Linked DNA regions of Anolis sagrei. The protein of the gene in region 1 interacts with the protein of each later gene in a pairwise test. Links are inferred from orthologs where the notes say so. Each region holds a gene or a part of one and is shown in the gene's direction. Other genes may lie near its edges.

Region 1 (7,046 bases):
AAGATGCAGATCAAGAATAGGGCTCCACAGTCACCTACGGACCTACCAGAACACTGATCCTGGAAGACTATCCTACTTGGCCAACGAGGGATCGCCTAAGTAAGTAAGTCCTCTGAAATAAAATTTACAGTACCTGGTATCCATTGGTGGTCTCCCATCCAAGTCTTAGCCAGGGGCGACCCTGCTTAGCATCCAAGATCGGGCAGAACCTTTATTGATTTTAGACCACGTGCTAAAGAAGAGTCAGCGGTGTGATGAAGCAGCAAATAATGCCAATGCAGTTCTAGGTTGCATCAACAGAACAATAGTTTCCAGCATTCAAACCATCAGAATTCTCTTTCTGACACAGATCCTCCAGACGACCTTTCCCCAATTTGGCACCTCCAGATGTTTTGGAGAACACATTCCATAACCCCAAGCTAGCTTTTCCAGATGTTTCTTAGGAACTTCTAAGCAAGCAACAGCATGCAAAATATATTGTAATGTGAGTCTTTTTGACACCCACGTTGCATCCTTGTTTTCCAATGTTGTATTATTGTTGTCCTCCTGGCATTTTTGGTAGGTGTTTTTACAACTGGAAGAGAATAAATCCCCACTGAATCTGTGGGAGGGTTTCGGCCTCCTCATAATAGAACCGGATTGCAACAGCTGGACTCCATTAGTAAAAGCTTGTCCCCGAGGAATGACCAAAACATGCTATCAAAATAGATGAGTCAGTAGGACCTTTACTCCTGTGTTTGAACTCATGATGAAATGAGAAATTAAGGTGTTCCATATCATTGTATACATGACTATCCTTCCAATGAGAGGCTAAAGTATAATATAATATATTGTAATATTATAATGTAATGCAATATATTACTACTGCTAATATCTCATAATTATATATTTATATTACATGTAATATTACTAATAATATTAAAATATAATGGTATATTATATATTACAATATAATGGAACTCTGTAAGACGAACGCTGAGCATGAGAATAGTTTTATTGATGTGTTATATACTGATTGTTTTTAACTGTGATAATTGTTTTAACTATGGTTTTATACGTTATGTGTATGTTGTGCAATCATTGAACTGTGCCTTTCTGTAAGCCGCCCCGAGTCCCCCCTCGGAGGTTGGGAAGGGCGGGGTAGAAGTACCTGAAATGAATAAATAATATAGTACAATATAGTAATATTGTACTATTCTTATGCTAATAATTATATAAAATTTACAGTACCTGGTATTCATTGGTGGTCTCCCATCCAAGTCTTAGCCAGGGGTGACCCTGCTTAGCATCCATCTCCAAAAGCAGTTATTCTACTCCCAACTCAAGAATGGAAAAAGGAACATTGAAGGACAGGAAAAGAGACTGAAACTGTGGCATAGACACCAAGAACTGGGAAGCCCTGGCCCTTGAGCGCTCTAACTGGAGGTCAGCTGTGACCAGCAGTGCTGCAGAATTCGAAGAGGCACGAATGGAGGGCGAAAGGGAGAAACGTGCCAAGAGAAATGCACATCATGCCAACCCTGACCAGGACCGCATTCCATTGGAAACCGATGTCCTCACTGCAGGAGAACATGTGGATCAAGAATAGGGCTCCACAGCCACCTACGGACTCACTCACATCTGGAAGATCATCATCCTCAAGCTATGAAAGGCGGTCCCGGTCCTAGTGTTGGCTTTGTCAGTGTATTTTATGTATGATGTATGTTTAAATATAATTTTATGTAGTAGCATGAAAATTGTAATAGAATTGTATTGCAAGAATGTATGTTTACAGAGAACGCTGTGAGAATGTGACCCTGAATTCTTGCTGTGTGCAAGTTTAGAGAGTGCCAGAGATAACCTCCCTTCCAGCTGCAGTTTAAGTGCCTATCTCTTTCGTTTTGTGTTCTCCACGTTTGTCTGCTGATGGCGTATGTTGTATTTTTGAACTGCTCAAGTAAACCTGAAACCTGCTTTTTACCAGAGACTCCAGAGTCCATTATTCAGTGCTTCCGCGATTATTTTGCCCACGTTAACAGGCTTGACACGCCTTGCTCTTGGCACGTTTCTCCCTTTCGCCCTCCATTCGTGCCTCTTCGAATTCTGCAGCACTGCTGGTCACAGCTGACCTCCAGTTAGAGCGCTAAAGGACCAGTTTTATATAGATGCCTGCACTGATTGACTTGGCAACTTCATTCATTCCATAGCACAACATCTGGCACTCTTCCCAAGGCAAAGAGACTGCCAGGCTGCCTTCTTCAGCATCCGGCCACTAGAGGGAGTAAGAGCATAGCTTTAGGATTTGCCAATAGGAGACAGGAGGGAAGAGCTAAGCCGACCGGGCATGCGCAGTGGCAGCTTTTATAGCCAGGCGGTGTGAAACGAGTGCATGCGCACACATCCTCCGCTCAAATTCTCCCCCTGCGCACGCACAGTTGTGTTTTGCCGTAATTAGGCGGCAGCGCCCCCTTTTGGCTGTCTCTCTCTTTCCTTATCCCTTGGCCACGCCCCCTTCTCTCGCTCTTGCCTCTTTCTGTCATTAATTCCAATTGTTCTCTATGAACCAAGCCCTCTGTTGCCACGCCCCCTTTGTAGCCCCGCCCCCTTTGTACTCTTCAAGTCCCGCCTACTAAAGGGGCGCGAAGATGCCTTGTCTCGCCATTTCAACGAGAATGGAGAAAACGGGCGTGGCCTATATGAGGGCGTGACCAAACCAGACCACACCCTCTTCTCACGCTTTCTTTAGGGACCTCTCCCTAAAGTGGGGAGGGTGGAGATTCCTTTGCGCATGCGCTCTTTTATTTACGAAGTGAGGGAAATGGTCAGTTCTTTGGCCACGCCCCTTCTCTCCCTTTCCCTCCTCGGAAGATTCTTCTGCGCACGCGCTATCTTTCGCATTATCTCCCTTACCCATTGAGGGAAACGGACAGACCCTTGGCCACGCCCCCTTCTAGGCCACGTCCCTTCCTTCCCTTTCCTTCTCCCTCCTCGGAAGATCCTTCTGCGCACGCGCACTCTTTCTCATTATCTCCCTTAGCAAGTGAGGGAAATCCAGTTCTTTGGTCACGCCCCCTTCTAAGCCACGCCCCTTCCCTTCCTTTACTTTCCCCTACTCGGAGATTCTGCTGCGCATGCGTACTCGTTCCCGCTTTTGACCACGCCCCTTTAAGGCCACGCCCCTTCTCTCCCTTTCCGCTCTTCGGGGATCTTTCTGCGCACGCGCATTCTTTCTCGCTATCTACCTTACCAAGTGAGAGAAACAGACAGGTCCACGCCTCCTTTAGGCCACGCCTTCCCTCTTTCTCGCTCTCTCTTTTACAAAGAGAAATGCAGCCCCCTTGGCCACGCCCCCTCTAAGGTCACGCCCCTTCTCTCCCTTTCCTCTCCTTTCTGCGCACGCGCACACTTTCTCGCTCTGTCCCTTATCAAGTGAGAGAAACAGACAGGTCCTTGGCCACGCCTCCTCTAAGGCCGCGCCCCTTCTCTCCCTTTCCTTTCTGCGCACGCGCACACTTTCTCGCTCTGTCCCTTACCAAGTGAGAGAAACAGACAGGTCCTTGACCACGCCCTCTTTAAGGCCACGCCCCTTCTCTCCCTTTCATGTCCTCGGAGAGCCTTTCCTTCTCTTTTACAAAGAGAAATGCAGCCCCCTTTAGGCCACGCCCCCTTTTAAGGCCACGCCCCTTCTCTCCCTTTCCTCTCCTCGGAGATCCTTCTGCGCACGCGCACTCTTTCCCGCTATCTCCCTTACTAAGTGAAGAAAATGGACAATTCCTTGGCCACGCCCCTTCTTTCTTGGCCACGCCCATTCCGTTTGGGTCACGCCCCCTTTCACCTTTTGTCTTGTCCGGCTCCCATTCCTTCCAGCCCTTCTTCGGCCACGCCCCCTTTCCCCTCCAACAGCCACGCCCCCTTTTCCAACTCCCTGTCGACCGCTAGGTGGCGCGAGCTTCTCACACGCGCGCGCCGTCCCTTCCCTTCCCTCCCTCCCTCCCAATTTGGCCACGCCCCCTGCACTCCCGGCCACGCCCCCTCCTCATCCTCGCGCCGCCCCTCCCACCGCTCGCTTCGGCTGCTGCTGCTGCAGAAGGAGAAGAAGAAGGAGAAGAAGGACCGCGTCTGGCGTCTCCTTCTCTTTGCCGCTCTTCTTATTACTACTGCCGCCGCCGTCCAGGGCGGGGAAGGGATTGATGTGGAGGCCCAGAGCGGCCCCGCCGCCGCCGCCATGCAGCCCCCGCCGAGGAAGGTGAGCCCAGAGAGAGAGAGGGAGGGAGAGAGGCGCCTCACGACGGAGGGGGGCTTCAGAGAGAGGGAGGGAGGGAGGCCATGATGGGGAGCCTGAGGTGAAAAGGAATGCCTGCCTGAGGAGGAAAGGGGCGGCAAGGGATGGGGAAGGGGCCTGGCCAGGGAGAGAGTGGAGGGCTGCCAAGGTCGCCTCGGGAGGGAGGGAGGGAAAGGAGGTGGGGGCATCCCCATTATTCATTAATTAATTCATTATTATTACTATTATTATTATGAGGAGGCCCTATTCCTAGAGCAATCATAAGGTATCGTTATTGGCTGACAAGGTGTCACAAGAAGAAGAGGTGGTGGCAGCAGCAGGTGTATTGTTATCACTATTGGCTGACAAGGCAGAATACTATTATTATTATAATATATTATTAGTAGTATTGGCTGACAAGGCAGCATACTACTACTATATTATTATTATTATTGGCTGACAAGGCAGCATACTACTATTATAATATTATATTATTACTATTGTCTGACAAGGCGGCATACTATTATTATAATAATATATTATTATTATTAATGGCTGACAAGGCAGTATACTACTATATTATTATTATTGTTGTTATTATTATTATTATTGGCTGATAAGGCAGCATGCTACTATTATAATATATTATATTATTACTATTATATTATTACTATTGTCCGACAATGGGGCATGCTATTATTATAATTTATTATTATTATTATTGGCTGACAAGGCAGCATACTATTATATTATTATTAGCTGATAAGACACCATACTACTATTATAATATTATATTATATTATTACTATTATATTATTACTATTGGCTGACAAGGCGGCATGCTATTATTATTATATTATTATTATTATTATTATTATTATTATTGGTTACAAGGTGGTATACTACTGCTATATTATTATTCTTGTTATTGGCTGATAAGGCAGCATACTACTATTATAATATTATATTATTACTATTGTCTGACAAGGGGACATGCTATTACTATAATATATTATTATTATTATTGTTATTATTATTGGCTGACAAAGCAGCATACTCTTATTATATTATATTATTATTGGCTGATAAGGCGGTATACTATTATATTGTTATTATTGGCTGATAAGGCAGCATACTACTATTATTATATTATATTATTACTATTATATTATTACTATTGTCTGACAATGGGGCATGCTATTATTATAATTTATTATTATTATTCTTATTATTGGCTGACAAGGCAGCATGCTATTATTACAATACATTATTATTATTATTATTATTATTGGCTGATAAGGCACCATACTATTATATTATTATTATTGGCTGATAAGGCAGCGTACTACTATTATAATATTATATTATTAGTATTGGCTGACAAAGCAGCATTCTAATATAATAGTAATACATGATTATTACTACTATTGGCTGACAAAGCAGAATATATTATTGTTGTTATTGGCTGACAAGGCAGCATACTATTATTATAATATATTATTAGTATTATTGGCTGACAAGGCAGCATACTATTATATTATTATTATTATTATTGGCTGATAAGGCAGCATACTACTATTATAATATTATATTATTACTATTGTCTGACAAGGGGACATGCTATTACTATAAAATATTATTATTGTTATTATTGGCTGACAAGGCAGCATACTATTATATTATTATTATTGGCTGATAAGGCAGCATACTATTATAACAATATATTATTAGTATTATTGGCTGATAAGGCAGCTTACTATTATATTATTATTATTGGCTGACAAGGCAGCATACTACTATTATAATATATTATTACTATTGGCTGATAAGGCGGCATACTATTATTATAATATTGTATTATTATTGGCGGACAAGATAGCATACTATTATTATACTATTATTATTTTTGTCTGACAAGGCGGCATACAATGATAGTATTATTGTCTGACAAGGCAACATACTATTATTATAATATTATATTATTACTATTGTCTGACAAGGTGGCATACTATTATTATTATTACCTGACAAGGTAGCATCCTATATTATTATTATTATTATTATTATTATTATTGCTGTTATTGGTTGACAAGGTGGCATAGAAAAGAAGGAGGTGGCTGCCATATGGGAGCAGAGGTATGATGGAACTGACCAGGTAAAGTGTAAAGGAGAAGGACACACACCTAGCTGAAAGGTGCCAGAGGCTTCATAGAGTTGTGGAGTGAATCAGTGAGGATATCTTTTGGAGAAGGGGCTCTTTTGTGTGCCTTGGCTTCTTGTGAGCATAAGGATATGCCACCGCTGCCCGTATCTGTGGTATTAAGACAGGTGCTGCAAGGTTTGCTTCTCTGGAAGGGCAGTTGAGACGGAAAAGGCACCAGAACAGGACTTGTAATCCCTCGAGGAGGGGGCTGGCAGGTAAATTGCATGGTCTGATAGAAGAAACACTCGAGTCAAAAGGGAGCCGGATTGCGACAGGTTGCAGTCAGGTGGAAAAGGAGATAGTGCTGAAGAGAGAGGCCACAGGAGGAGAAAAGGTGCTGAAGATGCCAAAGAAAGAGAAAGGCATGCTGCAAAGGTTTTGTCAGAATGAGGAGACATTTCTGTTTAGGATTTTTAACTGCACTGAAGCTGTTGGAGGCACTGGCAGGCTGAAGGTGACATGGGGCTACGCAGCAGTGCTTTAGAGATTTGGAAATTGGGTTTGTCAAATGGAAGAGTGTTTAGAGGCAGGCTGCAGCAAGATACAGCTCACCTTCACATATTCACAGATTCAGTCATAGAATTGTAGAGGTGGGAGACCTCA
Region 2 (7,714 bases), about 260 Mb from region 1:
ATTTTCCCCAGCATCATTCCCTTCTCCAAGCTTTCCTCTCTTCTCAAAATGTGGCCAAAGTACTTCATCTTTTTCACAGACCTCCCAAAAACGTTTTCACACTCCTCCCAAAAACAGGAAGGTAGCCGTATGGCCATTTTCATTCTGCAGCTGAAAAATACAGCCAGATCCGGCCCATTGGCAGCAATAAGGAACTTACGAGGTTCCCCTTTCTGTTCCTGGGACACTTTCCTTTCTTCCCTTCAAGGAAGCCTGGGTTTCAGCAACGGAGTTAAGGAAGCAGACACAGTTTACGTAAGACACGTTATGGCATTCTTCTACTCCAACAGGCCAGGCTCATCGGAAAGCCCCGTGCAAGAAGGAGCATGCGGCAGCCTCTATGCCTGCAGAGTGCTTCCAAAAAGAAGAAGAAGAAGAAGAAGAAGAAGAAGAAGAAGAACAACAACAACAACAACTTTATTTTTCTACCCCGCCTCCATCTCTCCGAAGGGACTTGGGGCGGCTTACATGGGGCCCAAGCCCAAGCAAAATACAATTAAAAACAAAGCAAAAACAATTAAAACAGCGTAAAACAGTGTAAAACAACATAACAATAATAGCTAGCAACAACAATAACAGCAAACTAATTTTGGAGGGGAGTGGGAGGAAAGAACACTACATGAACTAGTTAAAGGATAAAAGGGGAGAAGAGCCTTGATTGGCTACCGCGTAGTCCCATTACGGATGGGAAACCATGACGGCTAGGCCCTTGCCGTTATGGCTATCCAACCAAGCTGAAGAATCCAGATTGGCCAAAGGAAAATGGCTAAAATGGATCCGCACACAAGCCTAGTATTTTTGTATGTGATAGGATGCCCTGCAATGCAAAAGTTTTCCCTATAAAGGATACAATTTTTCTGTTATCAGTTTCCGAAAAGCAAATTAATGCACTCTTTTTGGAAATCAAATTAGCATTCTTTTTGCATAATAATAATAATAATAATAATAATAATAATAATAAACAACGTTATTTTTAACCCACCCTCTCTCCCCAAAGGGACTCAGGGAGCTTCCATCAGGTAGAATGGGCATCTCATTGAAGTGAAGACAAAGAAGGCACATCACAACTTGAGTGGACTTACAACTGAGGAAATTAGTACTGAGCAGTTCCATAATGTACTTATCCAGTAAAGCAGCATTTCTCAACCTAGGGGTTGGGACCCCTGGAGGGGTTGTGAAGTGGGTGTCAGAGGGGTCAGCAAAGACCATCAGAACACACTGTATTTTCTGTTGGTCATGGGAGTTCTGTGTGGGAAGTTTGGCCCAATCCTATCAAAATGCTCTTTGACTGGAGGTGAACTATAAATCCCAGCAACAACAACTCCAAAATGTCAAGGTCTATTTTCCCCAAACTCCACCAGTGTTTATATTTGGGCATATTGAGTATTTGTGCCAAGTTTGGTCCAGATCCATCACTGTTTGAGTCCACAGCGCTCTCTGAATGTAGGTGAACTACAACTCCAAAACTCAAGGTCAATGCCCACCAAACCCTTCCAGTATTTTCTGTCATGGGAGTTCTGTGTACCAAGATTGGTTCTATTCCATCGTTGGTGGAGTTCAGAATGCTCTTTGATTGTAGGTGAACTATAAATCCCAGCAACTACAACTTCCAAATGACAAAATCATTTTTGGGCATATGAGATATTTGTGCCAAATTTGGTCCAGTGAATGAAAATGCATCCTGCATATCAGATACTTACACTGCATTTCATAACAGAAGCAAAATTACAGTTATGAAGTAGCAATTACAGTAATTTTATGGTTGGGGGTCACCACAACATGAGGAACTGTATTAAGGGGTCATGGCATTAGGAAGGTTGAGAAACACTGCAGTAAAGGGTCACTAAAATGTTCTTACATAGGGGAGCCAGTGGCATAGTCAACACGACAACCATCATCCTCTAATCCAGTGGTTCTCAACCTGGGGTCCCCAGATGTTTTTGGCTACAACTCCCAGAAATCCCAGCCAGTTTACCAGCTGTTAGGATTTCTGGGAGTTGAAGGCCAAAAACATCTGGGGACCCCAGGTTGAGAACCACTGTTCTAATCTGTTGTGGCCTCACTGTCATCTATTATATGAAACAAACAAGTGGTTTGTTGGACAAATAACTTTTCACGTGTTCATATTTGATGGGGGGAGGAGTTGTGATTTCCTGAATCCACAGAATAGACATGCCAATATTGTGAATTCATGGCTTAGAAATTACAGCACTTGTGTGAACTGACTGCTCCAGCAAAAAAGGACAGCTGCCAGTAAGAGAAATTAAACTCCTTGAGATCCAGGTTGTTCCTGCCCTAACCGAAGCTAACTCCTGCTCTCTAAGGCAAAGAAGAGGAGTAACCTTTGCCATCATTGAGATCCCTCCAAAACAGCAGAACTAGAACAGAAATAACACTTAATACAAAATGTAGACTTCTGGTTAATTTTCACCTCCTGTATGATTTCAACAGCTTTTGCCTGATGAAGAAGCAGCCAGTGGAGCTTTTAAAACTTAAATGATGTATTTTGTGTGTTGCGGTTTGCCATTAAGATATCACTCCTTTCTGGGTTTTATTCTATTTCATTTGCCTGACCAACATCACTGCTCCTAGGTGAAATTCTGACATTTGAAATGTTGTGAAATGCCTGTTCTGATACAGTCCAATACTCCCATCTAGTGGTTGAAATGAACAATGCAAAAGATACATGATTATCACCATTAATGATAATGATGATGATAAAAATATTTATATTGTGTCAGAAAAGACTTGAGAAACTGCAAGTCACTTCTGATGTGAGGGAATTGGCCGTCTGCAAGGACGTTGCCCAGGGGGTGCCCACAGTGTTACCATCCTGTGGGAGCATTCTCTCATGTCCCCACATGGGAAGCTGGAACTGACAGACAGGAGCTCATCCCATCTCGCAGATTCGAACCATCGATCTTCCATTCTTCAGGTCAGCATTTCCACCGGCACAATGGTTTACCCCACTGCACCACCGCAGCTCTGTAATAATAAAGAATAAGAATAATAACAAAACAAATAGTACATAAACAAAGTATGGATTATCGATGTTGCAATTTATTATTTATTTATTTCGCACATTTTTACCCCACCCTTCTCAACCCCCGAGGTGGTCCCAGTAGTGATCGGCACACTGGGTGCAGTGCCTAAAGACCTTGGCCTGCACTTAAACACAATCGGTGCTGACAAAATTACCATCTGCCAGCTGCGAAAGGCCACCCTACTGGGATCTGCACGCATTATTTGCCGATACATCACACAGTCCTAGACACTTGGGAAGGGTCCGACGTGTGATCCAATACAACAGTCAGCAGAGTGATCTTGTCTGCTGTGGACTCATCTTGTTGTGTTTCAAATAACAACAACAACAATGTATTGCATTGTTTTGAGTCCACAGCGCTCTCTGGATGTAGTTGAACTACAACTCCCAAATTCAAGGTCAACGCCTACCAAACCCTTCCAGTATTTTCTGTTTGTCGTGGGAATTCTATGTGCCAATTCCATCGTTGGTGGAGTTCAGAATGCTCTTTGATTGTAGGTGAACTATAAATCCCAGCAAATACAACTCCCAAATGCCGAGGCCTATTTTCCCCAAACTCCACCAGTGTTCACATTTGGGTATATTGAGTATTTTCTGTTGGTCATGTGAGTTCTGTGTGCCAAGTTTGGTTCTATTCCATCATTGGTGGAGTTCTGAATGCTCTTTGATGGTAGGTGAACTATAAATCCCAGCAAATACAACTCCCAAATTGCAAGTCTATTTTCCCCAAACTGCACCAGTGTTCACATTTGGGCATACTGAGTATTTGTGTCAAGTTTGGTCCAGATCCATCATTGTTTGAGTTCACAGTGCTCTCTGGAAGTACTTGAACTACAACTCCCAAACTCAAGGTCAATGCCCACCAAACCCTTCCAGTATTTATTGTTTGTCGTGGGAGTTTTGTTTGCCAAGTTTAGTTCTATTCCATTGTTGGTGGAGTTCAGAATGCTCTTTGATTGTAGGTGAACTATAAATCCCAGCAACTACAACTCCCAAATGTCAAGGTATATTTTCCCAAACTCCACCAGTGTTCACATTTGGGCATATTGAGTATTTTCTGTTGGTCATGAGAGTTCTGTGTACCAAGTTTGGTTCAATTCCATCATTGGTGGGGTTCAGAATGCTCTTTGATTGTAGGTGAACTATACATCCCAGCAAATACAACTGCTTTCCCCTTTTCAGTGCTTTTTGACATCAGCCTCCTTGCGCCGCCTATTGAGGAATGAAAGGAAGGCGAGAAATCAGCTTTGGACTTCAACTCCCAGAAATCCTAGTCATTAGTCAAAGCAGCTGAGGCTTCTGGGAGTTGAAGTCCTCAAAAGCTAGCGTTCGGGAATGGTTGGTGTTTGTGAGGCATACCAATAGCAACCCGCCTCCTACTGGGGAATGAAAGGAAGGCGTGAAATCAGCTTTGGACTTCAACTCCCAGAAATCCTAATCATTAGTCAAAGCAGCTGAGGCTTCTGGGAGTTGAAGTCCTCCAAAGCTAGCGTTCGGGAATGAGTCGTGCACCAATAGCAAGGGCCCCTTTCCCGGCGGCCCTTGCGGCTGGCCAAAGACATGGCGGCTCGGGCGGCGCGCGCCTCCCCCCTCCTCTCATTCTGATTGGACACAGGCTCCGTTTCCCGGCGGCCTCCGCAGCGGACGTCGACGTCACGGGCCCGAGCGGCGTCTGAGGGGAGCCCGGCAATGGCGGCCTCCTGCGCGGACATCTTGCGGAGGGAGTTCCCAGAACTCGACGGGGAGATGTTCGACTACGTGACCGGTGAGCCGAAGGCGGGTGGCTTGGGTTCCAGCCAAGGAATGCCGGGGAGGGGCGGTGGGATTGACCCCAAACTGCATTCATTCTACAATGGAGATCAGGCATGGGCAAACATGGGCCCTCCAGGCCTTTTGGACTCCAACTCCCACAATTCCTAACAGCCTACGGCTGTTAGGAATTGTGGGAGTTGGAATCCAAAAGGCCTGGAGGGCCCAAGTTTGCCAATACCTGCACTATAGAGCTCATAGAATAATATGAGTTAGAAGAGATATTGGGTGGCAACCTGTGCACTCCCCCTGAAATCACAGGACTCAGCGCAGACGCTTGATGCGCAGGTGTCGGCGGTGGCCAGGAAAATAAAACTTGTGCGCCAACTGCGACCTTACCTTGTGAAGTCTGACTTGACCATGGTGATCCATGCCTTAGTTACCTTTAGACTGACTACTGTAATGCACTCTACGTGGGACTACCCATGAAGACGGGCGGGAAACTACAACTTGTCCAACGTTCAGCAGACAGATTACTGCCTCTGGACCGTGCCCTGACCTACAAGAAGCACTGCCTGAACATCAAGCAAAAAGTGGGCGCTAGAAACAATATCATACGAAAGCTGACTGGCACAACCTGGGGGTCACAACCAGACACAGTGAAGACATCTGCCCTTGCGCTATGCCACTCTGCTGCTGAGTATGCATGCCCAGTGTGGAATACATCTCACCACACTAAAACAGTGGATGTGGCTCTGGATGAGACATGCCGCATTATCACGGGGTGTCTGCGCCCTACACCACTGGAGAAATTACACTGCTTAGCCAGTATTGCACCACCTGACATCCGCCGGGAAGTAGCAGCCAATAGTGAAAGGACCAAGGCAGAGACATCTCCATCTCATCCTCTGTATGGGTATCAGCCAGCCCGTCAACGACTTAAATCTACAAATAGTTTTCTAAGATCTACAGGGACACTCGCTGGAACACCTCAGCAAGCGAGAGTTCAAAAGTGGCAGGCTCAAACCCAGAACCTCAATCCGTGGGTGATATCAAATGAGAGACTCCCCCCTGGGCACACAGAGGACTTGGTGACTTTGGAAGGCGCTGAACAGACTGCGCTCTGGCACCACAAGATGCAGAGCCAACCTTCAGAAATGGGGCCACAAAGTGGAATCCTCGACATGCGAGTGTGGAGAGGAGAAAACCACTGACCACCTGCTGCAATGCAACCCGAGCCCTGCCACATGCACAATGGAGGACCTTCTTGCAGCAACACCAGAAGCACTCCAAGTGGCCAGATACTGGTCAAAAGACATTTAACCAACTACCAAACTCACAAACGTTGTATTTTACCTGTTTGTTTGCTTTGTTCTGTTAGAAATGTAATATAATTGACTGGTTGATCTGACACGACAAATAAATAGCAGCCAGATTAATAACTGGGGCGACTTACAGGGAGCGGTCAACCCTACTGTTTAAGGAGCTCCACTGGCTGCCGTTTATTTTCCGGTCCCAATTCAAGGTGCAGGTTATCACCTATAAAACCCCAAAACGGTTTGGGACCCGCCTACCTTCGTGTCCGTATCTCCCTCCATGAACCAACTCGGGCGCTCCGTTCTACCGTTCTTCTTTTGCCCCTGCCAATTTCACAAGCTTGCCTGGTAAGTACAAGGGAGATAGCTTTTTCCTCTGTGGCCCCCCTGACTCTGGAACTCACTACCTGGAGAAATTAGGAAAGCCCCTACCCTAGAAACCTTTAAAAAGAACCTTAAATCCTGCCTCTTCCGCTGCGCTTTTAATTAATAGGTTTACATTTTCACACTATTGCTTAGCCTCAACGTTTTGTAATTGGAGTACATGTCCCCCGCCCCCCTTGTGGGAAAGCTTGATTCCACAACCACTACTATAATGAGTCCTCCTCCGCAAATAATCTGTCTCTTTCTTATCTCGCCTGAGTTTTAATCAGTTTTAATCAATCTCTCTTTTAACCATTGCATGTAGCCCGCCCATTGTCATTGTGCCTATTGTAATTCTATATTGCTATGTTTTCACATGTTTTATGTAATTATGTTGTTGTTTATTGTTTGCGTTTTCGGTTTTATTTTATTGTAATTTGCTGTCTGGGCTTGGCCTCATGTGAGCCACTCCGAGTCCCCATTGGGGATATGGTGGCGGGCTATAAATAAAGATTATTATTATTATTATTATTATTATTAGAGATCCATGGGTCATCTAGTCCAGCCTCCTGCCATGCAAGAAAAACACAATCAAAACAATAATATATTAATAATAAACTTTATTTATTACCCACCACGCTCTCACCAAAGGGGACTCGGGGTGGCTAACATGAGGCCAAGCCCAAAAGTAATACAGAATAATTAGACAAAAAGCAATGGAGAAATACATCATAACATAAAATATATAAAATAACAAATAAATAGACAGTACAAAGTAGCATAGTAGAATCAAACACAAAGGGCGGTCCAAATGTATGAGATAAAATGTTAAAACACTGGGTGAAATGGGAATAAAAAAGTGTATTTGTAGGAGAGGAGCCCAAGAAGGAGGAGCAGTGGGTTTGGTCTTTATAAAGGACAGGGGGTGGTGTATCATGAGGACAACTGTAGGTGGGAACAAACAAATGGGTTGAATAGTCACTCTCCGAAGGCACATCGGAACAGCCAAGTTTTTAGATCTTTCTTAAAGACTGCTAAAGTAGGGGCTTGCCTGGTCTCCCCAGATAGTGAGTTCCAAAGGGGGGGGGGCACAGCAGAGAACGTCCTCTCCCCTGCCAAGAAGCAAGAATATTGCATTCAAATCACCCCTGACAGATGGCCATCCAGTCTCTGTTTTAAAGCTTCCAACGCTTCGAAATATGTG

Evidence for each region.
Region 2: the proteins of FCHSD2 (region 1) and ABCF3 interact in binary tests that used the Homo sapiens proteins (3 or more experiments, as listed by UniProt). The two-hybrid records come from large-scale screens. The link is inferred for Anolis sagrei from reciprocal best matches to the Homo sapiens genes FCHSD2 and ABCF3.

Annotation. Positions count from the first base shown.
Region 1 is NC_090023.1:6,963,037-6,970,082, forward strand, and holds the start of FCHSD2 (F-BAR and double SH3 domains protein 2), read left to right. Parts: upstream 1-4,037; 5' UTR 4,038-4,204; coding exon 4,205-4,225; intron 4,226-7,046. UniProt on the Homo sapiens protein: Adapter protein that plays a role in endocytosis via clathrin-coated pits. Contributes to the internalization of cell surface receptors, such as integrin ITGB1 and transferrin receptor.
Region 2 is NC_090023.1:263,135,030-263,142,743, reverse strand, and holds the start of ABCF3 (ATP-binding cassette sub-family F member 3), read left to right. Parts: upstream 1-4,714; 5' UTR 4,715-4,771; coding exon 4,772-4,847; intron 4,848-7,714.